3 linked regions of the Schizosaccharomyces pombe genome follow. The gene in region 3 interacts genetically with the main gene of each other region. Each region holds a gene or a part of one and is shown on either strand. Other genes may lie near its edges. The genes, in order: spb70, rad26 and spp2.

Region 1 (11,012 bases), on a different chromosome or scaffold from region 3:
TTTGCCGTGTATATCAGCACATTCAAGGTTTTCCACGCACTATCTCCTTTAGCTTTGACTAGGCGATAGCATTCGTCATATTGCGCTAGAAGGATACTCGCTCGACACGAGGTAGCTGATGTCATTTGAAAGTCATTAAACGATCGCCATTGGCGGGAACCAGTTGCGCGGAGCATGCGGGAAACCAAGGTGATTACGAAGGATGCTAAAGAGCGTAGGGATTAGGCATCGCTATTTAGTATAAAGTAAATTAATGGGTTTCACTAATACAGACAGTGATCTCGGTAGATTTGAACGTTACGTGTGTGTAAAAATGTAATATCGATCTTTGTGGTAAGCTCGCAATATTTTTTAGTGTATAGCATTCCTTGAAAATTAAGATGGATTAACTATACAAGCAGCAATTGCTTTTGAGGTATACAATCAAAAGGCCATCATCCTACCCATTTTATATGAAAGCAAATGAATAGACTGCTGACGGGGCAACACTTAAAGAGTAAAGAATAAATACAATACGTAGGGCTTGCCTATCAAGTATAGATGGTGTAATCCTTTTTTTCTTTTTCGCTTTTTGTTTTTTAGTACTTTTTCACACCTTTATTGAAACATATCTTTATTTTTTTTGATAATCATACTCTATATTTTGTTGCTTTATTTTTAGTGTCTTTTCTTCTAAGCTCTCTTTAGTAGATAAAATATCACCGATTAAAATGATTACAAAAAGTTGGGCTTTTCATTCTCTATATATACATCTGCTATATACGTATTGAGTTTGCTACCAATTCTTAATAGCCAGCCCTCTATTACCACGAAACATCTGATTCAGAAAGTCAAAATCACTTTCTTCCGTGATTAATTGTTTATCTTGCTGCTTCCGCTAAACTGTTACTTTGCAAACCTGACATTCCATAGTATCGGAAAGTTTCTAAAGCTTTTGTAAACAAGACGGTCGTTCAGCCCAGGCTTATTGCTGACGATGTTAGTTGTATTATTAAATAATTTCTTTGATGAAAAAAGAAAAACTCAAACACCATGGGAAACATTTAGTAGTGTATGAGAAGATTTGTTCTTTCACATAGCTTAATGTTCCAGTATATATTTATTGAGTTGAAAACGAAATAATTTTTAACTTAGATATTGTTTTTTTTTTTTAAATTATTGTTTGGCTTCTTATTTTTTTTATTGCATTTTATTTTATTTTGGGTTACTTTTTTTTTTTTTTAAGTTGAAAATTAAACAAATTAGCCAAAAAAAAAAGAAATCGAATATGCTGAATTGAGCTATAGGGTTGGATCCTATTAATTAGCAAAAATTCCTATAGTTTAAAAAAAAAAAAAAAAAAAAACAACGAAAAAAAAAGAGAAAAAAAGAGAAAAAATATAAAACATATTTCTACTTCACTTTGTACAATCCATATTGTCTAGTCAAGTAGTTGCAAGCCTGTTCTGTATAGCGAATGTCAACTACGCAGTTTATAATATTTAACGATACTTAGGATTGCAGTGAGTTTTCCTCGTGATCAATTATATTGCAATAAACAGGTATTTTAAGTAGCAGCTGGGTATATGTATTCTGTTATGTAGGTCTATTGTTAGTTATCACTAATGTAGCTTATAACCGAACTGAGGAACGAAGTTCAGTTGATTTCAGTTTATAGTATTTGAAAAAGTCTTTAATTGTAACTGATATTTATATTATCATAAAAGGTACTGTAGCTGTCTTTTTAACCTACCATGTAAAGTAGATAGAGCAAATAGAACATTACAACATGTGACATATAGTGATACTCGGACACATTGTAACATAGCTTAGTTTCAGCTGACAAAACAAAAAAAATACATACTACACTATTTATCAGTAAACTAATATTACATAGTAAAAGCATCTCGTTAAATGTTTAAGGAGGTTTAAAAAACACATTAAACCACATACTACTGCGTTTCTCCACAGTATCCACGGAGCGTCCCAGTATATCCGAGTTTTTATTAGAAGAGCGATTTAAGTAGTTGCTTTAAGAAGATACACTCTCCTATCCTAAAAAGGTTTACTCATAATTATTGGTGGGTACCTCTTTAAGTGGTTGAACTTTCTGCTATACGTCGTTTTTTCTATCTGTTGTTAGGTTGGAATCGCGTAAACAAATTAAAAAAAGCAACTTCGAAAATCTATCACTGGGCACTTTTGGACTGGGATTGCTAGTACGTGTACTTGTATTTTTTATTCTTATTTATTTCTTTTTCAGGACCCACATCACAGTACAAAATTAGTCACTTCAAATTAATTTGCTCGTAATATTCCCAGGTATTCATTTACTGTCTTTTTTTTTGGGTATCTTGTTTCATTTTCAACTTCATTCAATCTTCAAAAAAATGGAATTTCCTATCGATGATGAGGAATTGCTAGATGAGCGAAATAAACTTCTCCAAATTTGCAATATGGACGAGCAAACAATGTTCTACAAGTGGGAGTCCTGGTGTTTGCAACGAGGAAATACACCAAAACTCGACCTTGACACATTCAAGGCCTTTGCTAAAGACATGAAATTTCAAATGGAGAGGCAGGTAAAAGCCACACTTAAACAGAATCCTGAAAGAAAATCGATAAAGCAAATCCCGGGAATGAATATTGATAGCATGTGCGTACATTAGCAAATGGTTTTAACTAACAAATATCTAGACTAGGTCTACCAGTGAAGACCACCGCATCAGGCGACTCGTTGATGCAAGAGTCTAAACCATCTACCGAAACTTTCGAATTGAATTCCAGTGACGCTGGAAGGGTTTTGGAAGTTTTAAATAAAGAATTAAAAATTGTAACTTCAAAACCTTCAGCTCCATCCAAGCTGGTTATCGTAGCGAATTTTGATCTCAAGGCATTTAATTACAGGATCATGTATCAAAAGCTTTATGATTCTTCTGAAGTTCTGGATGATCGCATTGAGCTTTTTAGTGCATTAACTTGCAGAAAATACAACATAAGTGATGAAGATTTGGCAAATCCTAGCGAACTTACTCAAGAACCCGTTGTAGTTGTAGGACGAATTGTTGTCGAAAGTACCAATTTAGGTGGAAGACTCAACCAAAATAGCATTTTACTTGAAAGTTCAAGACGTCTAGGCGCTGGTGTTCGAGTTCGTTTGAAGGTGGATGATCTACCAAGTTACTCAATATTTCCTGGTCAAATTGTTTCAGTTAAAGGATCCAATCCTAGCGGTAACATGTTTATCGCCAAGGAAATCCTTCCTATACCTCCTTTGCCGTTCCCAAGTTCATCTAAACAGGAGCACGCTACCTTTGTTGCTAATACAAATAATCAGCCAATTTCTATATATATTGCATCTGGACCTTGGTCTCTCCGTGATGATCTCTCTTTTTCCCCTTTAAAATCAATGATTTCATATGTAAATAAAAATCCTGTTGACTTGGTTATTCTATGTGGTCCATTCTTGGATATTAATCATATACTAATACGTACCGGAAACATTACAGGAACGTCTGCGACTTCTTTGGAAGAGTTGTTTAAAGAGCGTGTCACACCCATATTAAGCCAGCTAACTTGTCCTTGTATTTTAATTCCTCACATCAATGATGCTGCTTCAGATCATCCTGCATGGCCACAGGATGCATTTAATCGGGTGGCCTTAGGTCTTCCATCTGTATGTTAAGTTGTATAATAATTTTTATTGACCAATCCATAGAACTTCAAATGCTTCCCGAATCCTTGCATGTTTTCCATTAATGATGTCGTCTTTGGTGTGTCAACCAACGATATACTCCTTCACACATCTAGAGAAGAGTTATTTCGTCTACCTTCTCATGGTAACTTATTTGCACGTTTGGTTTCTCACGTACTTCACCAAAGGCATTTTTATCCCTTATTCCCTGGAGGTTCTCTTGAAAAGTGCAACCCTTCAAACTTAGATATCGCACATCTTAAACTTGGTGAATTCCTAAATACTATGCCGGACATACTAATTTTACCAAGTGATTTACGTTATTTCGTAAAGGTATGTTAATTTTCTACTTTGTTTTAACTAATGTTATAGAACGTTGAAAACGTTGTATCATTGAATCCTGGTAAAGCGACCAAAGGGATTAATTTGGGCACTTTTGCAAAATTAACTATCGCGCCATTAGAGCTCGGGGATAATGGTTCTTCTAATCATTATTCACATCGTGTATGGCTTCGAACCAAGGCAGAAATTTTAAAACTATGATAATTATACTCTCTTTTTCTGCGGAATTTATTGAAAATATAAAAAATTCAGCGTTAAATATCATTGGTTATCATTATTTATGTAGATGTCTACCATAGACCGTTAGAATTAATTAACTTTTCAGCTTTCATTTTCTATCTATCGCTATTTTGGTTTTCTTCAAATTTTGTTTGCAAAATTACTCATATGTTTATGTTGTTAATTTAACCATTTTCCTCAAATGTCTAAGACAATCTCTGATATATCTCAAATCGCTACTCGCGAACTTTTAGTCGTTGTTTTATAGTTGAATGAGTATTCCTTTTATACTGTAGTATTTGAATGTTCAACATTTTTTCGATTTGGACTCTAGTCTTGGTGTTTCACATCTCAACCTACTTAGTCACTACAGTTGACCTCCAACATACATAGGGGAAGTAGTGCAAATGCCTGTTATTCCTCCAGAAAAGCTTGTGTCCTTACAAAAAAATCAGGAAAATATTCGTAATTTTACATTACTTGCTCATGTAGATCATGGAAAGGTATGAATTTTGCAATTTTAAACTTTTTTGAATAGTTGCTAATGATTAATTAAAGACAACCCTTGCAGACAGTTTACTAGCTTCGAATGGAATCATATCTAGCAAACTTGCTGGTACTGTTCGTTTTCTTGATTTTCGCGAAGATGAAATTACGAGAGGTATTACTATGAAGTCTAGCGCCATTTCATTGTTTTTTAAAGTTATAAGCCAAAATGATGAAAAAAGAGTTGAAAAAGATTACCTGATTAATCTTATCGATTCTCCTGGTCATGTTGATTTCAGTTCTGAAGTATCTTCGGCCTCAAGGCTTTGCGATGGTGCATTTGTTTTAGTAGACGCAGTTGAGGGTGTTTGTAGTCAAACAATTACTGTCCTTAGACAAGCATGGATAGACCGTATAAAGGTGATTTTAGTCATTAACAAAATGGATCGTTTGATTACTGAACTGAAACTGTCTCCTATTGAAGCTCATTATCATTTGCTTCGACTTGTTGAACAAGTAAATGCTGTCATTGGCACCTTTTATACTGGTGAGCTTATGCAATTAGCTGATAACGACGAAGTCATCAGTGATGAAGGTATATATTTCGCACCTGAACAGGGAAACGTTGTGTTTGCTAGTGCATACGATGGCTGGGCATTTTGTTTGGACCAATTTTCAGAATTTTACGAAAAAAAGCTTGGATTAAAACAAAAAGCACTTACAAAATGTCTCTGGGGTGATTATTATCTAGACCCTAAAACTAAAAGAGTTCTTCAGCCCAAACATCTTCAAGGCCGACGGTTAAAACCAATGTTTGTACAATTTGTTCTCGAAAACCTCTGGGCTGTTTATGAATCAGCTGTGAGCAATAGGAACCTTGAAAACATTGAGAAAATCATTAAGGCATTAAACATTAAAGTTCTTCCCCGTGACATCAAATCCAAAGACCCTAGAAATTTGCTACTTGCGATTTTTCAACAGTGGTTGCCACTATCAACTGCAATTTTGTTAACAGCGATTAGGGAAATTCCTTCTCCTATTAACGCCCAAGCGAATCGAGCTAGGAAAGTTTTGAGTTCAACTCCTCATTACGAAATGATAGATCCAGATATTACACTGGCTATGGAAAGTTGTGACGCTAGTAAGGAACAGCCTGTTTTGGTATACATAAGTAAAATGGTAGCTTTTTCTGAAAGAGATCTTCCTAATCATCGTCGCAAACAACTTAGTGCTGAGGAGATGAAATTGATACGTTCAAAATTATCTGAATCAATTGAGAGCGGCATAAATACCATTTCTATTGAGGAAAACGTTTCTTCTACCAACTCTGACAATTTAGAAGGTAGCACAACTGACATGGACGATGATAAGGACATTTTAATTGGCTTTGCTAGGATATACAGTGGCACAATTTCAGTTGGACAGGAAGTATATGTTTATGGTCCAAAATATGATCCAGTCAATCCTGAAAAACATATTACCAAGGTAACGGTTGAGTCATTATATTTAATGATGGGACAGGAGCTAGTTTATTTAGAGACAGTTCCCGCTGGTAACGTTTTCGCAATCGGTGGCCTTGCCGGAACGGTTTTGAGAACAGCAACACTATGCTCATCTCCAAATGGTCCTAATTTAGTGGGCGTAACTCAGCAAATGGAGCCCATTGTGCGGGTCGCTTTAGAGCCTGTTCGTCCATTTGAGATGAACAAGTTAGTGACTGGCCTTGACATGCTTAATCAAGCCGATCCATGTGTTCAAATAGCCGTTGAAGAAAATGGAGAGCATGTAATTATGTGTGCCGGAGAGATTCATTTGGAAAGATGTTTAAAAGACCTTAGGGAACGGTTTGCAAAAATTGAAATACAAGCATCTCAGCCACTTGTGCCATATCGGGAAACTACCATAGCTACACCCGACTTATTAGCAAAAAATAAAGAACTGAGTATTGGCTTTGTCACTGCAACGTTACCAGTTGGCGGAGTTACGATTGGAATTACAGTAACACCTCTTTCTGGGTCTGTCGTAGATTTTCTGCTGAAGCACTCTAAAACAATTGAAAATGTTAGCAGCAATTTTTCAAAGAAAAATAGAAACGTTGTTGTCTCGGAATCTTTAACAAAAAGTATGGAGGAAGTGTTGACTCCTGAGAAGTTTTATGAAAGGCTTTCCAAGCTTTTAGAGGAAGAGAACTCTGACTTAGGCGAGCTGAAAAATCATTTGGATAGGTAGGTTATACTAGTGTTCTATTGGTTGATTACTAACAATACTAGTATCATTGCGTTTGGCCCCAAACGAGTGGGTCCTAATATACTTTTTGACAAAACCAAGAAGATGAGAGATTTTCGACGACAAAGCGATGAAACAAAATTAATACCCTCAGACCTTTCTGAATATGTAGTTACTGCATTTCAACTAATAACGCACCAGGGACCATTGTGTGCTGAACCCGTTCAAGGCATTTGTGTGTCAATCGATCAGTTTGACATATCTGATGACTCGGAAGATAGTAAGTTACTTACCATCAATAATCCCCAAATCCCCGGTCAAGTTATTTCGGTAGTGAAAGAGTCTATTAGACATGGATTTTTAGGTTGGTCACCGAGACTTATGCTAGCCATGTATTCTTGCGATGTTCAGGCCACATCTGAAGTCTTGGGTAGGGTATATGGTGTTGTTTCGAAGCGACGAGGACGAGTAATTGATGAAGAAATGAAGGAAGGGACTCCATTTTTTATTGTAAAAGCCTTGATTCCAGTTGTTGAATCCTTTGGATTCGCTGTAGAAATTTTGAAAAGGACATCTGGTGCTGCCTATCCTCAATTAATCTTCCATGGTTTTGAGATGCTAGACGAGAATCCCTTTTGGGTTCCAACTACTGAGGAGGAATTGGAAGATTTAGGCGAGTTAGCCGATCGCGAAAATATTGCTAAGCGCTATATGCTGAACGTTCGAAAAAGGAAAGGCTTATTGGTAGAGCAAAAGATTGTTGAAAAGGCAGAGAAGCAGAGGACACTGAAGCATTAAAGATAGTACTTGATTCCAATTTCTTTAGGAAAACGAAAAGATTGTAATTTGATGACAATGACCTGGTTAGATGGAGGTAATGTTTTTTTTTTTTTTTTTGTTACATTGTTGAGGTAGCTGTGATTTTGAGTTAAGTGTTTCATGAACTATGGGACTAAGATTAGAAGTCTATAAGATGAATAGTGTAAAACGCACATGCAAGATTCTTTAGGCTTCTTTTTGTTATGTTTTAAATTGTTAATACAAATTCAAATTTCCAAAAAATACCGATGTTGTGGGATATGCATAATACAAATAATGATATACTCTACTGCGTAATCGCTAGAAGGTGATAGATTACAGACGCGACGCGCCAAAACACAAACACATCTTTGTACTAATTCAAATTCTAGTATTTTGAAAACTATTCGCCTTAATGTTTTTTGACGGATGGAAAATGCAAAAGATTTTATAGGAGAAACAATAAAGGAGAATGGATTACTTACCATTGAAGATGATGGTAGCAGTAGTTCAGATGAAGAAGCTACTTTAAAACGACGATTGGCAGGCCCTTCTGTTCTCAAGTCAGGACAGGAAAATGTTAATCAAAAAAAGATTAACGAGATAATTTACGAAGCTTCCAAAGGAAGTAAGTTTTTTGAAGCCGAACAAAAACGAGACCGAGAACTTCGTTTAAGAATAGAAAAGGTTCAAGTTGAGGTAGAAAAATACCAATCAAAATTAAGGTTTGATAAAGCGTTTCAAAGAGAGTGGACCATTAGACAAGAAAGTGTGGATACTACTGTTGAGGATTTTAGGGCTAAACGAGATTTGACCCAAATAATTGTTCATGTTGATTGTGATGCGTTTTATGCATCAATAGAGGAACTTAAGAATCCAAAACTTAAGTCTTTACCAATGGCAGTCGGGAAGAGTGTTTTGTGTAAGTATTCGAATCTGACTGAAACTAATGCTGAATAAGGTACTGCTAATTATGTGGCCAGAAAGTTTGGAGTTCGATCAGCGATGCCAGAATTTATTGCTAGAAAGATTTGTCCTGATCTAGTTGTAATTCCGTTAAATCTTTCTGAATATGCAATAAAATCTAAAGAAATTCAGAATGTGCTTGCTCAGTATGATTCGAATTTGTGTCCTGCAAGCATTGATGAATTTTATATGAACTTGACTTCACATTTACGTCTCCAAGAGCTTGCATTTACTGTAGAAAACATAACGATGGTGGTTGAGAAAATCAGGAAACAAGTGCATGAAGAAACAGGAGTTACAGTCAGTTGTGGTATTGCAGCAAACAAGTTGTTAGCCAAAATTGCAAGCAATAAGAGAAAACCAAATAATCAGTTTTTTATCCCATTTGACGAGATTGGGATTTCAAAATTCATGAATGACTTGCCTGTTAGAGAGGTAAGCAGTCTTTCTATATCTGGTTAAGCATTCTTTAACATTACAGGTTTCTGGTATTGGTAGAGTTTTAGAGCAGCAATTACTTGGTTTGGAAATTAAGACGTGTGGGGATATTCAAAGAAATTTGGTGATTTTATCTTATATCTTTTTACCTAAAAGTTTCCAAAACTTGTTGAGATGTAGCTATGGATTTGGAACTACAATTTTAGACGAATACGGTGAGAGCAAACGAAAAACAATTGGGTCTGAAGCTACATTTTCCAGCAATCTTAGTTCTCCGTCAATAATCGAGTACAAGCTCAGACTTCTTGTACAAAATGTATCTGAAAATTTACAAAAGCGCGGATTAGTCACAAACTCGATCGCTATAAAGTATAAAACAAGCGAATTTCAAGTTCATACCAAGCAAAAGAGCATAGGTCAATTCATTCATTCAGAATCTGATTTATTGAAACCAGCTTTGCAATTGTTGCGTCAATCTTACCCTATGACTATTCGTTTATTAGGAGTCAGAGCAACAAAGCTGGTTAGTAAATCGCGTTGTTTGGCCATGCAACTTGTAAGTCAAGCAAATATACTGCTAGCAATATGCTAATTATTACTAGAAATTCCAAAGCCAGAATACCGTTCCTTGTCCCGTTTGCCAGAAAAATATTGAAAACGAATTAGGTATACTGAACCAACATGTCGACCTTTGCTTAAATGTCGAAACAGTTAAATCCTTGATCAATACCGATCATACTGCAAATCCTACAATCAAAAAAAGAAAATCAAACACATTAGACACATATTTCTTGGAATAAAATTTATTAATCTTGACCTTAAAGCAACATTAAATAAGTTTTGGATTGCGAATCATTGCGCAACTAGCTTATGGTAAAAGTATTTGACAGTTTGTATAGACCAAGTAAAACTTTTAGAGAAAGAATGTCAAAGACAACTATTTTTAGATAAAGTAACCATGCTATTTTACAAAATAACATTGCGGTACTGAAAAATATTACATAAATGTCAACGTCAATTGTAAAGTCATCGTCAAACTCAAAGATTGTAAGGATAGGCCGATTTAAAGACTTTTAGCAGCGATTCCGCACATGATTGCGACGCCAGCAGCGTATGCGCCAAATTGGAAGATGGACAAAGAAGTCCAGTAAATAAACAACAGGATTTCTGCAACGGCCAAGGAGGCAAAGCCAAACGTTCTAGCAAATGAAGATGATGACACAGAGTAAACATTTGATTTTGGTAACAATTTCTGCCACACACCGAGCAAACCGATTAAACTAACCACTACCGAAACAGAAAAGCAAATACTTAGAAAATAATTTGCCCTTTTAGGAGGGGGAGAAAATGTATGAAGAATTACTTCTTTAGGACTTAATTCGTCCAAAGGAGAAAATTCCGCTTTATGGTACAAAGAAGGAGGCACATTAATGGAAAGTTGACCCAAAGGAAGTGAAAAAGGAATGGTTTCACCAAAAGAAGCAACAAGTAGTTTAGCCGTAAGAGTTGAATCACTTCGAAGTAAAGAAGTGGGAATATCAAATAGACGCTATAAGGTTAGTAAATTAATCGCTAAGAGAAGTATTCAAAGTGAGAATTCTTAGATTAAATTAACATTCTAAGCTGCAATTCAACCTTTCCCAGCGTACCAATTCTAATGAAGCGACGCCTCCTTGCGATACCGAAGCAGGATAGATCACAGCGAGAGTCGGGTGTTCAGTATCGCTTAGTAAAAGATGTGCTTGATGAGGAATAGCTCCAGTACCATTTAATATACAGGTAAACTTCAGATTTAGAGTCTCATCGCCTGTAAGTTCATAGACAGTGGAACTTTGGATTTGGCTGAACCTAAAGAGATAAGAGA
Region 2 (11,061 bases), on a different chromosome or scaffold from region 3:
TACAGCTTCTGATAATGACAACAACACTGGTTCATCAGATGAAGAAAATGATAATTTGAAAGAACTTACTCCCGGCAAAAAAGAGTATTTAAAAAGCATAAAGAAGTACTTCCAAGATGTCGACGATTATCAGCTACACGTAGTAAACGAAGGATAATTAAAAATTGATTGCATCTGCGTATACCTCATGGTGTAAGCTAGGTTATGCTTCATTAATCCTCGTTTCCCTCGTTTTTTGATGCTTACTATTAATTGCTGGGATAATTTACTATAATACTATGCTTAATAATGGGGTTCATTGACGCAAACAAAGACGAAACTATATAGAACCATGTCTATAAATACAAAAGCTAAGTCAATCATTTGAAATTTTCATTACATATCTTCAAGTAAAAATAAATTTAAAAAAAAGGAGAAAAAAATAAACAAAAGAATGGATGAAAGTGTCTTGCTAAAGATTAAGCTTAAACCTCAAAAATTTTGACGACTCCAAAAACGAATTAATACTATGGATATGTAAAGTCAACTTCTATATAACTAAAAAATACCGGGAATCAGATTTTTTTATTTTTTTTTTGAAAAGAAACAAAGTAACGGTAACAATGGTATCCCTAAATCCTCTAAGCTTTCTCTCTGCTGAGAGTAACTTCAATAATTTGTTTAAGAATGTCAATATTGGGTTTTCCTGAGAAAATGCAGGTGCGCTCCTCATCCAAGAGGCCATCAAACTCTATCGGTAATACTTGTGTGTTAAAGTTATAATCACTATAAGAAGAAAGAGCAAGGTTTACTGCTTTGTCAAACTTAGCAGGATGAGCTGTGGAAAGGCAAATATAGGTAATATCCTGGTCCTTAGTCTTCTCTAAGCAACGAAGACCAGTTTCGACGCCAACAGCAGTGTGTGGGTCGATGATATAATGATCACTTTCATAGATTTTTTTAATAGCATCAATGGTTTCATCATTACTAACACGTTCACTCACGAAATCACGTCTAGCGGCTTCCAAAACCTCGGGACGGACAGTAACTGTTCCATCACGTTTGAATTCATTCATCCAGCGAGACAAAATTTCCGAGGCCTCAGCAGGAGTATGATTAGGAGCCTCAGTGGCTAATGCAAGATACCATAAGTAACGCTCGAAGTTAGAAGAAACCAAAATGTCCATTGCAGGAGAGTAAGTTTCTTTGGCGGAAATAGGTCCACTGGGCGAAACTTGAGTAGAATCAGCTTTTTCATAACGACCAGTCTTGAAGAAACGATTCAAAATATCATTCTCGTTAGTAGCAATAACAAGTTGTTTAGTAGGTAAGCCCATACGCTTGGCGTAGTAACCAGCGAGAATATCACCAAAATTACCGGTGGGAACGATGAAACGAACATCGTCAGCCTTTCCTTGCTTGTAAACGGAAAGATAAGAATATAAGTAATAGGTAATTTGAGAGAGAATACGAGCCCAGTTAATAGAATTAACGGCACCAATATGATGCTTCTTATTAAACTCAACATCGCCAAAAATTTGTTTAACAAGATCTTGACAATCGTCAAAGACGCCGTTCACAGTGATACAGTGAACGTTAGGATCTGTGACTGTAGTCATCTGAGCTTCTTGGATAGGGGAAACACGTCCATTGGGAAATAAGATAAAAACTGAAACGTCCTTCTTGCCACGTAAGCCATAGATAGCTGCACTACCAGTGTCACCACTAGTGGCACCAACCACGGTCAGATGATCACGTTCGTCTTCAGGTTTGTTTCCGTTCTTACGAGTAAGGAAAAATTCAAAGAGGTTACCAAGAAATTGCAAAGCAACATCTTTGAACGCAAAAGTAGGACCATGGAAGAGCTCAAGTACATTGAGACCGTTCTTTAATGATTTTAGAGGAGTAGTCTCTGGGTGGCGGAAGGTAGAGTAAGAGCGATCAACCAATTTTTTCAATTCATCAGCTGAAATTTCAGAGCGAGGAATGTACAAAGACATTACCTCAAAGGCAATTTCAGGGAAGGATTTGTCCTTCCAAGCCTCAATCCATCCGCTAGGTAGCTGAGGGATTTCTGATGGAATAAACAATCCTCCATCATTAGCCAAACCCTTAAGCTATACAGTAATGGCAATTAGTAAACCGAGTTATAAGTAAGACGCATTTGTGACATACCACAGCCTCTTCAAAAGAAAAATTTGAAGATCCACCACGAGTCGATAAATAACTAACTTGGCTAGACATTTCGCTATTTCCCAAAACAGAACGTTGCTTGTTCTTGGTAAATAAAATCCGCCATTTTTCAGAGAACCTTGCAATCTTTCGTGTTATCAACAGTTTACAAAATTGAGTGTACCAACGTAAATATTTTAAAGATAGTATCGTTAATTTTCACTATAGTAGCTCTTTGAGTTGGTTTTTTTCGAATTTATTATTTTCTGAACCCGTGGCTATTGCTCACTACACTACTCCATTTTACGGTATGCTTCGCTACATTTTTTGTTCTTAAGTTTTATATTTGTCACCCAAAACGGAAATGTATTCGTAATTTTTAATATATCCTAAAATGAAAATATTATAAATTGAATCAAATTTCCTGCGTTTCATATTTCAATTATCAGCTATCAGCTGGTAATTGTACATTAAGTCCAACCTGACTATCGATATATATATAATTGCATATCGTTAAATTGTCATGAAAAGAAAATAGTAAAATCCCAAGTTGAGACTTACCGCAAAGTAACACATCGTTATCTTGGTTAGCAATTGCGTAGTTAACAAAAACGTAAACAAACAAGAGTATGAGTATGCCAAATTACTCTACATTGCTGAAATCGTTTTAATCTTGGCAATAATCTGGTACATCGACTTTCATATAGTAATACGTTGTTTAAAAAGATTAAGATGCTGAAGTGGTAATCTTGGAAAGGCTTCTGTTGTGGTCTCGTTGCAAGATAAAAATAAAATAAAATCTACAATGTAACAAGGTAAGTAGTCATCTTACGTTTAAATGAAGATGAAGATAAGGCAATTAAAATATGTAAAAGATAGGCGTTAAAAGACGTTTCGATTGATGACAACCTAATCAAATCGGTATAACATGATGAAAAATGTAAACTTGGTTCAGTGGCCCAAACATTTAAAACAATAGGCAGCAGCCGTAAAAAATAAATGAGGTAGATCAACAGGACGAATTAGATGGTGCTTGATTGCTCGTTGCAAATTGATAAAAGGATTCGCGAGAAACATTGGAAAATGGCCCCAAGAAAAAGCAAAGGCATTACTTTTTGAAATGTTAAGGAAATTGCAATGAAAAAAGAGACGTTGAAAAAAAAAACATGGGAATTGATTATATTCCAAAATGTAAACTCGATCTAATCACAACAACTCGAAAGCATATCAAAAGTTGATTGAAGCTATTAGGCATAAATTTTACGTTATGAAAGCATTAAAAAGTAAGAGAAAGTGTACAATATAGAGAAATATTATAAACTTCCCAACCGGGTAGAGTTGAAAAGAGTAAGGAAACAAAGTAGCAATCCGGAAACGATAACCAACACAAGATATAAAAAGCAATGCCAATCTCCACTCCTTCAAGCTCTCCACACACTTCACGACTATATACGTATCGGCGGTGCTAATATCAAAAACTAGCGAAAAAGAAAATGTGACAAGATAATAATAAGGAGCCTAACAACACCTCTTCACCGTACGATCGTTTCCGAGGTCAACGTTATTTGCCTGGTTGGAAAATTCGTTTTCTGCATCAATCTTTTGTTTTTTTATTTCCCGGGCAAGGGTAAAAAATGCCTCATCTACATTGACGTTCGTCTTCGCACTAGCTTCTAAAAATTTAACGCCCAGCTCATCGGCTAACGCTTGTCCCTGTTCAAAGGAGACCTGACGCTGATCCTCACAATCACATTTATTTCCAATAAGGATTTTATAAACATTTTCACTAGCATGTTGTTCAACGTTACTAAACCAAGTTCGGACGTTATCAAATGATTTTTTATCAGTTACATCGTATAACAATAAAATACCCATTGCACCACGATAATAAGCAGTGGTAATGGTACGGAAACGTTCCTGGCCAGCAGTGTCCCAAATTTGGAGTTTGATACGTTTTCCATCTAGTTCAATCGTGCGAATCTTGAAATCAATTCCAATCGTTGTGATAAAAGAAGGGGTAAACGAGTCTTCCGAAAATCTCAGAAGAAGACATGATTTTCCCACACCTGAATCTCCTATGAGAAGTAATTTGATTAAATAATCGTAGGATTTTGTAGACATGGAGGAGTGTTGCTTTTGCCAGGTGGTAAGTGGTAGAATCTACTGGAGTCCCTTGAGATAATGCCGCAAAAATACACTTAAATTTATTAATTCAAGTAATGTTATTGTATAAATGGTACTAGTTTTATTTAAGTCTTTGTTTGTGTTTTTTTATGTTGAAAAAACATGACTTTCAACTTTTTTATGTACGTTTCCTAAGGGCAATAAACTCGAAGTTTTGATAAAGGAAGTCACTATTCTAGGGCACATACATACACTCTTGAGAAAGTAACAAAGATATTCACAAGAGAAATAATTCAGATTTCATGTCAGAGAAAAATCTCTGTCACTAAACAATTTACTAGCCATGGATTAATTTATACGATTTGAATGACTGGTAATATGACTAATATAGTACTGCATTGATCAATTTAATCAATGTTTATATGACTGTCATTGACCTAAACATACTTATAATTAACGCTTTAAGTGTTTTGGTTTAGATTTTTCCTTTTTATTTTTGATAATATAGTAAATGGATGGGGGAGAAACAATGAACTTAACGTTAATTCATATGATCATCATTTTAGGCTTTGTCATTGTTGTTCGAGTTGAAACAATAAACCGTTTAAACCAGCATAAACTATAAAATGTTCTACGATTAGGAGTTGGACTGTCTGAAAATAAATAACTTTTAAATTTTTCGAGGTTATGAGTATTCAATAGAGATTGAAATTAATAATTTCTACAATAAAACAAAATAACAAATTATTTCATTTTATCCATTGATATATTTGGTTAGACTACAATTCGATCTTACTTTTTTAATAATATTTTCATTTTTTTAATTCTTTTATGTTTATTAATTCGAATAAATGATGGAAGCCATTTGTCATAACACCTTAATTTAAGTATAAAAAATATTTTTCTCATGTTTTATTTTTAAAAGCATTCAAACATCATACACTTATTTTATTTATTTTTTATTATTGACAATTCAAATACTTGATTTTTGGCTAATAGTGATTTACAGTACTTGAGGTCTTATTGTCGATTACGTAACTCGTAAAACTTCAAGTTGGCTATTCGATTGCTAACCAAAATGCACTAATACGCCAAGTTCAACAAGTAAATTAAAGATCACAAGAAATACTCATAGCAGTTAAACGTATCGTTAAAGCATCTTATATAGCTGCGCATTTTGGAAAAGACTATCTTATTTATCATATCTGTTGGTGCTCTGCAAAATCAATTCATATTGCTACAAGGGTTCAATTATTCATACAGGAAGTTACGCGATTAAGCAGCCTTAGTGACTGCAGTCATATTCTGCTATTAGTGTTTCGTTTGTATGTGGTATTCATACTAGAAAGAGATATGGTTTTTCGGCCTTATCTTCTCTGCATAATATTGCTTACTAACTGTTAAGGTTTTCCAATTGCTGAATTACGATAATTACAGTTACCAAGGTTGCTGAAAGTATTTGAAACAATTTACGATTTATTATGAATTCAATTCTTTTTTACAGAATAAGAAAAACATTGGGCCCATATTACAATTTGGAATCACTTCAAACAACTATTGTTACGCATAAACGAGAGTGAAAGCTACAAACAAAATGATGGCTGATGAAAGTTTTGACTTGGAGAGTTTGGGTTCGGATGAAATATTTGAAGGCGTGAATTTAGATGAATTAGAGCAACAAGCTCAAACCCAGGTTCAAGCTCAAAGTTCTCAAGTAGTTGTACCGAGTGAAAAGCAAAAGCAAAATTTAAATCTTCCAAATTCATACACCAATTCTTCTCAAAAAGTCCGGGAATCTACCGTAAACTCACAAGCCTCATTATCCTCTAATGACCTTCGAACAGAACTTTTAATTAAGTCGGGAGAAAATGCAATTCTTCGTGCTAACCTTCTAAAACAATCCGAAGCTAATAATGCCGCCCTAGAATCGTTAAATAATTCTATAAAGCAAAAGCAAGATGAATACCAACGGAAATTAGAGGAGCTTAAAAAAGAAATTGAATACGCAAAAACGAAATCCCTATTTCATGAGCGTGAAGCACAGGATGCTATCGAAACTATGAAAAAAATGAAAAGAGATGTAAAGAATTCTCCGATTATGAAAAAATCCCATGAAGAAGATGGTGACAATAAATTGTTATCTTCTTCTGATCAGCTTGCTAAGAGCACAAAGCATGCTGCAAAAAACAGCCCTTCTAAAAAGAAGCGCAAAACAAGTGTTGCTACTGCTGAAGATGCTTCAACGGATAGTGTGAGTTCTAGTATTGCTATATCAGATGCAAGTTTGTCTTTGAGCCTGATGAAAGATTTACTTTCTCTACAAAAAAGAGAAGATTTGTATTTTGTAAGTATTTTTAAACTGTCGTGTTAAATTTTATTCCCTTTTCTTACTTTTCTAGTCTTCTAGAACTTTAGCATACGTATTTGGTGGTTGTATGCATTCATTAGAAACAATTGAAGGAGAGGAGGAAGGTGAATGTTTGTTTAATAACTTGAAAGCTCTAATATACAGTCCCGATCTATCTATGGATTCCTCCAATTATGTACAATCTGTCGTTCAAACATCATCGTCGATTTTAAATTATTCAATGAAAAAATTATTATATAATGCCTCCTTTGCTATAACATCTTTGTTTAATGCATTATTAATTTTGGACCCTAAATCATCCACCTTTATCTTTCAGGAAAATGTCGTTTCTTTAATAAGTGGTTTTCTTCTTAAGGAATACGAAAAAAGCAATTTTTTGGACTCAAAGTTTTACGTTTTAATAGATTTTCTTTATTTATACTTATCTATAGCACGTGAAAGTGCTGATGACTTTGCAAACATTACTAAAGCGGTTGATCCGTCGTTATTCGAATCCTGCATTCGAGTGCAAAATGCTCCTTCTTTGATTAAATGTGGTGTTTGTTTAATTATTAGTTCCACCACTCCTTCGTTTTGCGCTTCAGTTAACTTGTTAAATGCCGATGATAAATCCCAAGAATCACTCATGCAACTTTTCACAACTATGGCCCATATTTTAGTTGTTACTACTAGGGAAAGGATTAATTTTCCTGAATTGGTACGTTTACGAATTGTGCTTATAATCTTTGCATTGCTTATTTCTAACAAATTAGAATGAATGGATAACGCTTCATCGCTTTGTCATATCCTTTTTTACCGTGTTTATACAAATGTCTGGAAACATTGGTAAAGAGATTTTAAAAGTATGCAATCCCTTAATAGTATGCATCGGACTAGCCATCACTTGGTATCATCAGCAACTCCTTTCGTCAATGTACCCTCAAAATGAATGCGTAGAGATTTTAGTATCTCTTGTTCGGCTTCTGTACATTTTATCTTCCGAAGATTTATCATCAAAATTTATGTTAGCTGAAAATGCGTTACAACCTCGTTTCGTTTATGCAATAGCATGCTGCGCATTCGGCGATACTGAACAAAAAGCGTTTGGCAATTTGGGTGAGGAAATGTATTTTCTCACTACAGAATTGTTGGAAGTTTGCGTCTCTCCCGAAGAGCTGGAGCAGTTGTACACTAATTTTTAGATAATGAAACAGATGAATCTATTTCCCTAATTTTTCAAATGAAATAATGATACTTGTTTCTTCAGTGTTGTTCTTTCCCGTCCCGCACCCACATCCTCGCAAATTAAATACAAATCAATCTGTTTCCCCAAAGGAATGCGTACCACAAAAACATCCCCATTCCGTTCTTTTAGTAAAACTTACGGCTATATTTACCTGCAAATAAAATCATCTAGCAATTAACGAAAATGAATATATTAAAGTACCACTAACATAAAGAATCATCACTATGTAAATTCAATAAAATGCATTTGAAAGTTCAAATATCAAAACCGTTTTGATTCATAATAAAGAAAATCCGTCATAGAAGAGTTTCAAGAAAAACTGTAAACATTCATAACATAAAGAGAAAAATCCAATAATTCTCTTCACTAGAGTTTTTCTTCATTCTTTATCCATTGAATGCATATTTTTTTATTTTTTTTACAAAAAATATTTGCGTCTGATTTCCTTAAATGGGAGAATCCATTCCCAGGTTGATGTGAACAGCTTTTGTTTGAGTATAATTGGTAAGACCGTAAGAGCCCAATTCGCGACCGATGCCACTCTCCTTATAACCACCAAAGGGAATTTGGTGATGAAGTAAGTTATAACAATTCACCCAAACAGTACCGGCTTCAAGAGCATTGCTGACCTTGATGGCATTGGTAATATTGTTAGTGTGTACACCAGCAGCTAAACCATATGTACTGTTGTTACCGCGACGGATGGCCTCCTCGATGGTCTTGAATTTAATGACGGCAAGAACGGGTCCAAAAATTTCCTCCTTACCGACAGCCATGTCCTCGGTAACGTTGGAGAGAATAGTAGGTTCGACAAAGTAACCGAGATTACCATGACGCTTACCACCAATCTCTAATTTGGCACCATGAGCAATGCCACTCTCAATATAACTAACAATACGTTCATACTGTTGCTTACTAACTTGAGCACCTTGGAAGGTATCTTCGGCGAAAGGATCACCAACCTTCAAAGTCTTGGCCTTGGCAACCATGCGTTTAATGAACTCATCGTAAACATCCTCTTGCACGTAGACACGGCTACCTGCACAACAGACTTGACCAGAGTTGTAAAAGATACCATAGTTAGTCCAGACAGCAGCTGAGTCCAAATCGGCATCGTTGAAAACAATATTGGGAGACTTACCACCCAATTCAAGAGTGACCTTCTTCAGGTTGGAGGAGGCGGCAGCACGCATAACCATACGACCGACACCGGTAGAACCGGTAAAGGCCACCTTATCAATGTCCATGTGAGAACTAATAGCGTTACCACAACGGCGACCATCACCGCTGAGAACATTGATGACACCTGGAGGGAAGCCACATTCAGGAACAAACTTGGTAAGACACAGAGCGGAAAGAGGAGTGAGTTCGGCAGTCTTCAAAATAATAGTATTACCACAAGCGACGGCAGGAGCAATTTTCCAAGCGCACATCAAGAAAGGGAAATTCCAGGGGATGATTTGACCACATACACCAATGGGTTCGTGACGAGTATAGGCAAAACGCTTAATGTCGGTTTCAATGGTTTGACCATAATCCTTATCGGCCCAACCACCATAATAACGGAAACAATCGGCAGCAGCTTGAACGTCACCTCTAGCCAAAGTGATACTCTTACCATTGTCAAGAGTCTCAATAGAAGCGAGGTATTCCAAGTTTTGCTCGATACAGTCAGCGAGACGGGAGAGGCAACGTCCACGTTGAGCGCTGGAAAACTTGCGCCATGGAGCATCGGTCTGGAAAGCGGCACGAGCAACTTTCACGGCGATATCGACATCCTCTTCGTCGGCGTCAGCTACCTCACAAATAAGTTTCTCAGTAGAAGGAGAGTAAACCTTCACACGACCACCGTGAACGGAATCGACATGTTGGTTATTGATAAAGAGACCGACAGGTTGAATGTAAGTTTTTCCTGTAGGAACGGTAATTTCGACGTGATCAACGAGTTTTGTAGACATTTTGAAAAGTTTGTATTAAAAAATTGAGAAAAGGGGTCGTTGTCGTAAATGAGTAAGAGTAATTAAAAAATTAACTAGAAAAAAAAAAAAACCAAAGATAAAAAATGAAGTAGTGGGATAAATTTGGCAGAGCTGAATTGAAATGCAAACACAGGACAAAACCAAAAGATCAGTAATGAAATGGAAAATATGAGGTGTTAACGATTGTATAAAATAATTTTATATCAACCAAAGTAAACAACGTCGTCAAAAAGTTATGGGCGAAACCAAACTATAAGTAAAAGAGCACCTAATACGAAAAGATTAGATGGTCAGAAAAGGACCGGGGTAAATAAACAATGGCCTCTTATTATTCTTAAGAAGAGGGGGATGCAGTTTTTATAAAATGTGATAAAAACCGAAAGACGACAAAATCAATGAATTAAAACAATCAATTGTCGTTGTTAGTAATAATACCACAAAGGAAACCTATATCAATTTGGATGTAGGAAGTGAAGGAAAGACTATAGATAGAGGAATATACTAATAAGAGAATAGCAAGCGTGTTGTAGAAACGAAAAGACCGTGCTGTTCTACTTATTTCAGTGAACTGCAAAGGGGGGCGAATTCAATATTTATAGTAAAAATCATATATGACTTATACGATGATTAGTAAACAAAGCTCCAACTCCTACTGATTAATGGTGACACAAAAGACCGACACCTGGACGAATGATTTCCTATACATGATCTAATTCAAACAACGACGAATGACAAAACAGGACACCTTACCCCATGATGTCAATGCTTAATTTTGGCGAATCAAAGGAAGAGACACCCTCAAAAATCACAAGATTTCATATGTGCTAGCGTACGCAAAGCTTCCCTCCCAAATCTCACTGTGCAATAGTAATATGCTTTAGAGGGAATTGCATACTCGGAAATACAATTCACTATATCGAAAATTTGATATTAACAAACGAGGAACGATGAAAGACGAACGACGTTGAAACTCCGATGCCAGCCAACCTAGTCTAGTCTAGTAGCAAAAAGCAAAGCAACTTCTAGCGCCATCTGCATAGTGCGCTTTCGCTTCTTAAATTTTCTTCCTTCTCTTATTTCCCAAAGAATGCGATGCGCTGAGAAAATGGGAGCACCTTGGGCTAATCTAGTCAAAATGGGTCATTTTCGCAGGAAACCCCATGTTCTTTCGCTCTCCGAAAATCCCAAACTCGCTTTTCATTTGCTTTGCTCAA
Region 3 (10,284 bases):
GACTCAACGGCAATAAAGATTATTTTAAGAACTAACTAGTTTTATCACCAAATACATCAAACAAAGAATGGACTTGGTGATTAGCGTAGAAACAGATCTACGGCTAAAATTCCAAAACTATAACGGTACTAATATTTCTTGGATGTACATTGTGTAACGATAGTAATTAGTAGCGGCAACAGAAAAATCTGACTACTATCCCATAAACGTTCAAATAAAAGCAAAAATAGAGCTTTCCTCTGTTCTAAACTGAACTGGTATTTTTTAAACAAACATGATAGATTAACGAGTATGTTAGCACTTCACACTAGGCGATCTATTCAAATTTAGTCATATTATCGTATTCGGTAAACCACTAATTTCTTTGCACAAAAAGTGATGCTTATTCAAGTCAAACCTAAGAAAGATATGAACAACTAACTATATATATATGCATGTGCTAACATTTTTTTTTGCAAAATCAAGAATTAAGTACCTCTTGTTTAGTGGCTTATATAAAACTGCGAGGTAGCTCGCTATTCGTGTAATAAAATTTTACTACGACAAGGGGGAAGTTTTCAACTGCACAACATGGCACCTCCTCAAGGAAAGCCCGAAAATGTGCTAAGGGTATGTATTATGAGTTTTTTACTTACTTTGACTAACATAAATTAGCTTGCCGATGAGCTGATAGCTCTAGATCAGCACAGCTCAGCACTGCAATCTCTTCATGAGACTATAGTTTTGAAAAGATCAAGAAACGCGCAGGGGTTTTCTCTCGAGCCTATTATGATGCGTTTCATCGAACTTTGTGTTCATTTACGCAAAGGAAAAATTGCAAAGGAAGGCTTGTACACCTACAAGAACGCAGTTCAAAACACCTCAGTTACCGCTATTGAGAATGTAGTCAAGCATTTTATTGAACTTGCTAATAAAAGAGTTCAAGAAGCTCAGGAGAAGGCAGACAAGATATCAGTTGAATATGTTGACGATCTTGAGGCTACTGAAACTCCCGAGAGCATCATGATGTCTTTGGTTTCGGGAGACCTTTCCAAGAGCCGCACAGACCGTGCTTTGGTCACTCCATGGTTGAAATTTTTGTGGGATGCTTATCGTACAGTTCTTGATATTTTGCGTAATAATGCTCGTTTAGAAGTAATGTATCAGTTAATTGCTAACTCTGCATTCCAATTTTGCCTCAAGTATCAGCGTAAAACCGAATTTCGCCGTCTATGTGAACTCCTTCGGTCCCATCTTGGCAATGCTTCTAAATTTTCAAACGCTCCACACTCTATTAACTTGAATGATGCTGAAACTATGCAGCGTCATCTGGACATGCGTTTCTCTCAGCTAAACGTTGCTGTTGAGCTTGAACTCTGGCAGGAAGCTTTCCGATCCATTGAAGACATTCACAGCTTGCTTACGTTCTCTAAGAGGGCTCCTGCTGCAGTCATGCTTGGCAATTATTACCGTAAATTGATTAAAATCTTTTTGGTTTGTGATAATTATTTGCTTCATGCTGCAGCTTGGAATAGGTACTTCACATTTACAAATGTGCAAAAACCCGCTACTGCTAATTTTGTAATTTTAAGCGCTCTCTCTATCCCTATTATTGATGCCAACAAATTATCGGGCCCTTCCATTGAGGCAGAAGATGCCAAGAGCAAGAATGCTCGTTTGGCTCTTTTGTTAAACTTATCGAAAACACCTACGCGTGAAACATTAATTAAGGATGCCATTTCTCGTGGCGTTCTTTCTTTCTGTGATCAGGCTATCCGTGATTTGTACCAGATTTTGGAAGTTGAGTTTCATCCATTGAGCATTTGCAAAAAACTTCAGCCTATCATCAAAAGATTGGCAGAAAGTAATGATACTGCTCAATACATTCGTCCTTTACAACAGGTTATTCTTACTCGTCTTTTCCAACAACTGTCTCAAGTTTATGATTCCATTTCATTGAAATATGTTATGGACCTTGCTACATTCGAGGAGCCTTACGATTTTAACCCTGGTCAAATTGAGAAATTCATTATGAATGGTAACAAGAAAGGTGCATTTTCTATTCGTTTGAACCATATTGAAAATTCCATTAGCTTTTCTTCTGACTTGTTTTCTAATCCCATTAAGTCTTCGGATTCTGTTTCTCTTCAATCTACTCCATCTGAATTAATTACATCTCAACTTACGCGGATTGCCAAATCCCTTTCTAGTGTTTTGATGCGTTTTGATACCGATTTCTGCCTTTTACGCAAGCAACAAGCCGAGGCTGCCTACGAAAGGGCTCAGGCTGGTGTTGAACAGGAGCGTAAAGCGGTCATTGCTCAGCGTAGTCTTCTCGAATTACGTCGTGGACAGGCTGATACACTTGCTACTCAACGTGAAGCTGAGCTTGCTGCTCAACGCGCTCTCAAACAAAAGCAAGAATCTGAAGCCGAGTCTCTCCGCGTTCAAGAAGAAATTAATAAACGTAATGCTGAAAGGATTCGTCGTGAGAAGGAAGCTATTCGCATTAACGAAGCTAAAAAGTTGGCCGAGGAGCTCAAAGCTAAGGGTGGATTGGAAGTCAATGCCGAAGACTTGGAGCATTTGGATGCTGATAAATTGAGAGCTATGCAAATCGAACAAGTCGAAAAGCAAAATAAGAGTATGAACGAACGTTTGCGTGTTATTGGAAAGCGTATCGACCATTTGGAACGTGCTTATCGTCGTGAAGCTATCCCATTGTGGGAAGAAGACGCAAAACAACAAGCCGAACATGACCGCGAAATCTTTTACGAGAGGGAGAAACAACGCAAGGAAGTACAAGAGCGTAAGCATGAACAAGCCATTAAAGACAAAAAGGCTTTTGCTCAATTTGCTTCCTATATTCATGCCTATAAGCAAAATATTGACGATGAACGTGATAAAGCATATCAGGAGGCATACGCCAAAGCTAAAAATGTCATTGATGCAGAGCGCGAAAGGCAACGTAAAGAAATTTTCGAACAAAAATTGGCTGAGGCTATTCGCGAAGCTGAAGAGGAGGCTGCTCGTGCTGCTGAGGAAGAGGCAAACCGTGAGCTTCATGAGCAAGAAGAAGCTCAAAAACGTGCTATCGAGGAAAGAACTCGTGCAGCTAGAGAAGCTAAAGAACGCGAACAGCGCGAAATGGCTGAGAAATTGGAACGCCAAAGACGTATTCAGCAAGAGCGTGATGAAGAAATATCTCGTAAGCTTGCCGAGAAAGCAGCTGCTAGAAGAGCAAATATTGGCGCATCTTCACCTAGTCCTGGTGCTTGGAGGCGCGGCGGTGCTAGTGCTGGCGGTGTTTCACGAGACTCTCCAAGGTATTCTCGTGGTGGCTACTCTCGTGGTTCTGTTCCTCCTCGTGAGACCCTTGCTCCTTCTAAGGGAGCATATGTTCCACCAAGCAGACGTAATCAACAACAACAGTAGTAAACCTACTGTCTATAAGAAAATAAACCTGTCGACAATTAATTATTGTCGCAATTGGATATTGGAGTCAAGTCTTTACGATGCATTATCTAATGTCACAGCTGATAAATTTAAATGAACTAATGTGTTCTCCTATTGAAAGTTGTAAGTTCCTTTTTCTTACAAGGGTAGTTGGTTACTTTCATGCTATTGGAATTCATGAAAGCGGTTATGTGTATAAAAAGAGCCTTTTGTAGCTCTATTTAATAGATAATTATCGTTAACCTTTGAACTTTTTTTAATTTGTATAATACTGCTTAAAGCTTGACTTGTTAATTGTAAATGTAGAACGATACTAATCGAATAAAGATGTTACATGTCAAGTTTATAAGCGACGATGAGTTTTTACAGTTGACGTTTCTGTAGTATGCATTTCTCATTTCAATAATTCTGAATACAACGAGTGAAGAAATAATTCATTAATTATTAGCAACGTGTTTTGTATTAGTACCAAAAAGGTTAAGCAGCTTAAAATATTTGTTTAAAGACACTCAAAGTAAAAAGGTTTCTTGGTGAGAGGCACGACAATTTGTTACCGCAAATAGACTCTTCGCTAACCACCATGTTCAGAACGACCAAAAGTCGAGTAGTTGAAAAGAATCAAAATTTTTCTAGTGCTAGTTTTGAGAGTTTAAGTTATCCTACGCGACTTAATTTTTATAAGAAACCTCCTGTCTCTGAAATAAGCATTGAAGAGTTTGAAACATGGGCAATAGACCGATTAGTTGGTATGCTTTCCATTTTCTTTATTATTTTCTATTCTTTTGGAGTAAGCTAACTATTTAGTTTTGGGTGAAATTGAGTCAGCAATGCTCCGCAATAAGACGAAAAATGAATTGAACGGGATTATAAAAAAGATACTGGATAAACGTCTGCCGATGAGTAGCAACATGGCTAGGACTGTAAAAGGAAACTCCTTAGATGAAGAAAGAAGGAAAGATCATTATTCTCATTTCATTCTGCGCCTGGCTTTCAGCAGATCGTAAGTAAAAATGTGCTATATTTGAGTGCTGTCTGTCGAAAAATATCTCATTTAGACTTATAAATGCGTTCGCGTTATGGCATAAGTAGTAAATTGAACATAAAGTGGGTATCAATTTGCTGCTTCAGTTAAACAGAAAGCATTATATATATGAATACATTTAAACTTGCTTTTATTCTTTTCCTAACGCATTCATTAGTGATGAATTACGAATCAGGTTTTTAAGAGCTGAATCCACGTTATTTCGGTTTCGATTTGTGAATGAGGAAACCCGAGAACGTCAAGCGTTTATAGATAGTCTTGATTTTCAATGGGAATCTGTTTCACAAGAAGAAAAAGACGTTTTTTATGAAAAGCTACAGGCTTCTTCTCAAAGAAATATAGAAAACGAATCTTTCTTCAAAGTACCTTTTTTTAAAGTTCCGGATTTAGTAGAACGAAGGGCTGTTTTCGTTCACAAGGGATACGCTTACGTACCATTTTCGGAACAAGTAAGTCTAGTTGTTGAAGAGTTTGAAGAAAACTTAAAAAAAGCGCTTGAGTCTACCGCAAAATCTCTTCCTAGGCTTGATGAAGACGATCGTCTTTTGCCAATTCTCAACCATTTGAGTAAAGGATTCGTTGCTCCCGAGAGTTCAATAGTTGCTCCTAAATCTGGTGCTATTACTGCTGGACAAGTAGACAGTTTTGTTTCACATTTTCCATTATGCGCCAAACATTTACATGAAGTACTTAAGCGTGATAAGCATCTACGGCATTTTGGCCGTCTTCAATATGGGCTATTTTTAAAAGTATGAAACTTATTTTTTATGTAGTAATTTACTAATTTTTCAGGATATTGGCCTTTCTGTCGACGAAGCTTTGGTCTTTTGGAGGAAAAGTTTTACAAATGTAACAGAAGACAAATTTAACAAAGAATATCGCTACAATATTAGACATACTTATGGACTTGAAGGAAATAGGAAAAATTACAAGGGTTATAATTGCCAGCAGATCCTTACAGGGCCTCAACTTGGTCCTGGAGATGCCCACGGTTGTCCTTATCGTACATATTCAGTAAATAATCTAGTGTCAGCATTGGCTTCCATGGGAATAGCACCGGATTCTGCCGGATGCCGTGAAGTTGTTGAGGCAGTTAAAGCGAGGCATTATCATATTGCGTGTACGCGTGTTTTTGAGCTTACTCATCCAAATGTCGGTTCGCTGGAGGAGAGCATTCACCATCCCTTACAATATTTTCAACTTAGTTTAGAATCATAAGCTAAGATACTTTTAGTTCACGATTATCATAACACATTTCAATTTTTGTACAATAGGTATTGAACACTTTCAAAATACATTTCATAGCTATAATTCAAAAATCTAATTACCGGCAGGCTGGTTATATAGATGAATAAGCATTGTTACTAATAAAAGGCAATAATACCAAATCAACGTAAAAAACATGATATTTAATTTAAAAAACGTAATTGAAAACTTTTTAAATTTATCATCAAAATGAAATTGTCTAGCAATCTTCCGAACACTCAGTTCCGTAGAATAAATACGTTAACTTCAAACTACAAGTCTATTAACATATGAAAACGTTTGTATTTAATCTGAAGAGATGCAAGTAACAATCAAGATGTTCTTACAAACGTATATGGTTTTTTGAGACTAGCAGGATGTACTTCTGGGAATCTAATCATCATCATCAAATGGGTATTCAAAATCTTCAGGAGGAGAGGCCTCCTGTTCACCAGGCTCTGTATCTGCACTAGCAGGTACAGCGTCTCTATTCAGTTCAATTAAATCTGGAGCTTTATCAGACTCACGATCGATAAGCATAAGAACACCACCGGTAAATTTGCGAACCGGATAATAACGGCCATTAAGGTTAAATGAAATATATGGAAGCTGAGCAGGAACAACCCGCGTGAAGTTCTCTAAAGTTTCAGACTTAGGTTCTTCTTTTTTAGAGTTGCCGTTGATGCTTATATCCTGACTTTTTTCTTCATCCATTTCCATCGGAGTGGCCTCTTTCTCTTCAGTTGTCTTTTTGTCGATTTTCATTTCGTCATCATTTGAACCTTTACTGGCTTTTTCACGTTCAGCACGCTTGGCACGTGCTTGAGCTTTGACTGTAGTAGAGAGCACGGCAGTTTCAACTTTTTGGACCGTTTTAGCAGTGGGTTGTACGGACTTTGGAGGATAGGCAAACAGTTTAGGACGAACATTTGAAATAAAAGAAAATTTGGGTGCATTCAAGTTTTTATCCAGACCTATCAGCGCAGTAGGTGAGAAGGAAAGAGACATAAAATGCGTGAGTGGAAACCAGTACCAATATTGAAGAAAAACAGTTAATCCAACAATTGCAGACAATTTCAAACTACCAGTAGCTGTCTGAAGAGCAATAGTAACGTTACGACCGCCGGCATCAATAATACCTTGAGCCAATGTTGCGCCCAATTTAGCAAGCGCGTCTTCATGTTTTTCGTTGATGACTTGTTCAAAATGTTTTCGAATTCCAGAAACCTTACTATTCAATTGATCGTTGTGTTGAGTGAGAATCATTGCTTGAGCAATCATGGCACCTTGGCGAACAAAATCCGTTGCATCTTCAACAAGGCGGCTCAATAAATCTAGTGCAGCATTGGACCCCGAGTTTGCACAGGCAATTCCTAAAGCGATTGCACTACCATATCTAACATGAGGGTTATAACTATCAACGAGCAGCTCAACCGTTGAAATCAGAGCGTTAGGATCCTTGAAACAGATAAAACCTAAAGCACAAACTGCAGCACGACGAACATCATCATTGACATCACTAACTGAGATATGAAGTACGTCTCTAACTATTTTGCTATTGCTTGTACCACAATAAGCCAAAGCGGTAGCGAACATGCCTGCATAACGGAGAGTAGGGTCCAAATCATTATTCAGTTCTTTAATTATACCGTCAGCTTCTTGCTGACGTCCATAAACAATTAATGCAATACCGATGCCCAAACCTCGAATAATCTTCTCATGCTGCGTCTCATGTGCATACTGCAACATTTCATCAATGGCGGCAGAAGAAGCTGTACCAAGCATTATGAGACCCATGGATATACCAGCGGCAGACCCAGCCACGGCATTATCGTTAAAAAGGATAGTCTTAACAGATTCATAAAGGGTTTCGTCCCTACTAGCCATGCCCGTTAGGCCAATTCCAAGTAAGAGACCATACTGAACAATCTCATCTTCGGTATGTTTCAGTTGTTCGCGCAGATACTCAGTAACACCTCTTCCATGATTAGCATGAATCAACCCCATGGCATAGAAAGCACCACCTTCAGAATAAGTAGAGCTTGATGGCGCATCTTCTTCCGGCAGATAAGGACGAAGAATGTTCATAGCTTGATTATAATATCCTCGATGGATGACACCCAATGCAGCTGTTGCAGTAAATTTTGACCAGTTGTTGGCCTTGGATAACCAGGAAAGGTTGTCGCGGAAGAAACTATCCGAGGAAGTACCGAAGTTCATGAACGCATTGGCGAACGTAACTGCATTATGAAAAACCGAGTTCCTGGCTTCTAAAGAATCTTTCGTCCTGTTCAGAATAAGCATATCCGTATTGTTATGTGCATATAAAAATTCACGGTCATATTTAACGGTTTGTTCACCAGACAAAATTCGAATAATATAACCACAAGGAGAAGAATCCTCCTTTTTCGAATCAGCGTTAGCGTCCTCTTCGGAATTGGCCACAGAGGGAGAAGGAAGCAAATCCATCACACTATTTAAAAACTCTTGTGGAGCCGAATCTTCAAGATCAAAGGCTAATTGATACGCTGTCAATAAGCTTTTGTCATCGTTTTGAGAAGATAGTTTCATTAAAAGTTTGGCTGCAACAGAGGCATCGTTCAAATGAACAACGCATTTTCCAACTGAGAAATAATCAGGTTCTGTTTCTGTCAGAAAAGAACTTAGTAATAGACGAAGTAAGCGGTTTCGGAATTCAATGTCTAAAACAACAGTCATTGCAAGTTCCAGTACATAAGGCTTTAAATCTGTCTCTTTGTCTGCATTTAAAATGTATTCAATAATGTCAAGTCGATGAGCCTCGATAGCAATTCCCAAAACATGTCTCCATTCGTTTTTAGCATAACATTTTTGAAAAATGCCCTCGACTACGCCACTTAGTCTCTCGTCCAAGGGGTCAGCCTTTGGATTTTTGTACAACTCTGCACTTTTATGAATAAACATATCAATACATTTGAAAATTAGTGTTTCTTTGTAATCACTATTTTTGTCATGCAAAAACTTTGGACCACTTGACAAGGCAAACAAAAGAGCCTCATCATATTCTCCAAGGTAATAATAAACTTTTGAGACTACCAAGGCTGCTAATTCGCGTTCAGGAAATGAATGGTCCTCATACATAACCTCAATTTTCGTAACATCATCCGATATTTCCGGCCATAATTGATCAATAAACTCATAAATTTTTAGTAAAGCATGTACTTGTAATTCTCGCTCTTGCTCGTCCAGCAGGGCCATCAAACCACCTATCAAAAGGATTAGTGAACATGATTTCTACATTTTTTCATTGTTTAACGCTCGACGTACCTGCTGACGTTATAATAGAGGTGTTATCAGAGTACACCATAGTCATTTCGACGAAACTAGACCTGTTTATTTAAATCTTACAAACTATATAACAGCAGGTGGTGTTTCGTTGTTGGTAAATACCCTGAACCGTTGTGCTTCATTCCACCAACACATTCGGTAAGGGTAGGGCACTTGTACCAATAAATGTTTCAGGTATATTAAATGTAATGCTATATCATGTTATCCACACCACACCACCTAAATAATATTCAGTATTATCGAAAAAAGTCAAATTGTATGTTTCATCAACTATGTAAGATATCTCAACCCAATGAGGGATTTATATGAGTATCGTATCAAAATGAACGAACTAAGTAAAGCTATTCTGATCGTTCTATAATATGATTCTCATTGCCTTCTTATCATTCGCTTTTAGTATCGATAAATTTATAGTCTTTAGCTTAACAAAGTAGCTAATTTTTGTCGAATTTTTTTTTTAAAGCATTATAGTTGTTTGACTTCACAGTTATACTTTCATTAGTATTTTTTGATAGTATATATTACGCTGGGATCATTCGTTTAACTTGCAGTACGTATCAATGCCTAGTACAATATTACTTTACAAATACAATGTAATATAACAATTATCATGGTTCAGTAGCTTTGCAAATGAACTGTTTGATCAAGAAAATTTAATGTATTTCATAATTTTTCTCGAAGTCAATTCTATCAGTAATGAAATAACTAAGCCACATGGATGCGTCCAGAAATGATATCGAGGCCTTCCCATGCCACAATGTTTTTGGCTTTATTAAAACCACTGTTTTTTATTGCTGGCATGTTAATTGAATGGACATTTTTCGATGTCGTCAAACTGGAAGCAAACAGAAGCTAAAGTAACCCGAAATGTATTTTGTTAAAACATAACTATCTTAACTCTAAATAGATATAAAAAATTCTGTGTTTCACGCATACAATGATATTAATGTATATGTAATGATACCTTAACGGAAGCGCTGAGTACGGGATCAAAGGTCAATCAACAAAAAAGGGTGAAGCAATTGTACGCAGTCGCTTCTTTTAATTTACTAAAAAATTATTGAATAGGAAAAAAATTACAAATATAATAAAACAATTCTTCATTTTTGCGTTTTCGCTTTGCAGCCGGTATTCGCTGTTTGCTTTGTATTGAATATACATCATAAGTGGGGCGCTTACTTACTTTATCCCAATATCCACACTTCGCGCACAATGACAGATTTACGTAGAAATAG

The links.
Region 1: mutations in spp2 (region 3) and spb70 impair growth when combined (synthetic growth defect), as found in Schizosaccharomyces pombe (one study listed by BioGRID).
Region 2: mutations in spp2 (region 3) and rad26 are lethal when combined (synthetic lethality), as found in Schizosaccharomyces pombe (one study listed by BioGRID).

Annotation. Positions count from the first base shown.
Region 1 is NC_003421.2:285,271-296,282, forward strand, and holds spb70 (DNA polymerase alpha B-subunit), read left to right. Parts: upstream 1-1,958; 5' UTR 1,959-2,369; coding exon 2,370-2,635; exon of another isoform or gene 2,636-2,676; coding exon 2,677-3,655; exon of another isoform or gene 3,656-3,697; coding exon 3,698-4,006; exon of another isoform or gene 4,007-4,045; coding exon 4,046-4,216; 3' UTR 4,217-4,434; downstream 4,435-11,012. Other genes in the region: GTPase Ria1, read left to right, coding at 4,642-4,737, 4,793-6,945, 6,991-7,744; kpa1 (DinB-like DNA repair polymerase kappa), read left to right, coding at 8,174-8,666, 8,706-9,145, 9,192-9,704, 9,751-9,948; oligosaccharyltransferase delta subunit Swp1, read right to left, coding at 10,212-10,697, 10,798-10,996. UniProt on the Schizosaccharomyces pombe protein: Accessory subunit of the DNA polymerase alpha complex (also known as the alpha DNA polymerase-primase complex) which plays an essential role in the initiation of DNA synthesis.
Region 2 is NC_003424.3:4,445,246-4,456,306, forward strand, and holds rad26 (ATR checkpoint kinase regulatory subunit Rad26), read left to right. Parts: upstream 1-5,359; 5' UTR 5,360-5,600; intron 5,601-5,680; 5' UTR 5,681-5,869; coding exon 5,870-6,619; exon of another isoform or gene 6,620-6,674; coding exon 6,675-7,340; intron 7,341-7,395; coding exon 7,396-7,824; 3' UTR 7,825-8,124; downstream 8,125-11,061. Other genes in the region: sor1 (sororin), read left to right, coding at 1-157; SPOM_SPAC9E9.06C (threonine synthase), read right to left, coding at 621-2,096, 2,155-2,223; GTPase Ypt2, read right to left, coding at 3,670-4,272; atd1 (aldehyde dehydrogenase), read right to left, coding at 8,315-9,826.
Region 3 is NC_003423.3:3,313,768-3,324,051, forward strand, and holds spp2 (DNA primase large subunit Spp2), read left to right. Parts: upstream 1-4,005; 5' UTR 4,006-4,015; coding exon 4,016-4,181; exon of another isoform or gene 4,182-4,239; coding exon 4,240-4,435; exon of another isoform or gene 4,436-4,634; coding exon 4,635-5,226; exon of another isoform or gene 5,227-5,269; coding exon 5,270-5,695; 3' UTR 5,696-5,862; downstream 5,863-10,284. Other genes in the region: tif301 (translation initiation factor eIF3a), read left to right, coding at 571-609, 655-3,414; proteasome regulatory subunit Rpn2, read right to left, coding at 6,116-8,967, 9,029-9,074; dca7 (WD repeat-containing protein), read left to right, coding at 10,262-10,284. UniProt on the Schizosaccharomyces pombe protein: Regulatory subunit of the DNA primase complex and component of the DNA polymerase alpha complex (also known as the alpha DNA polymerase-primase complex - primosome/replisome) which play an essential role in the initiation of DNA synthesis.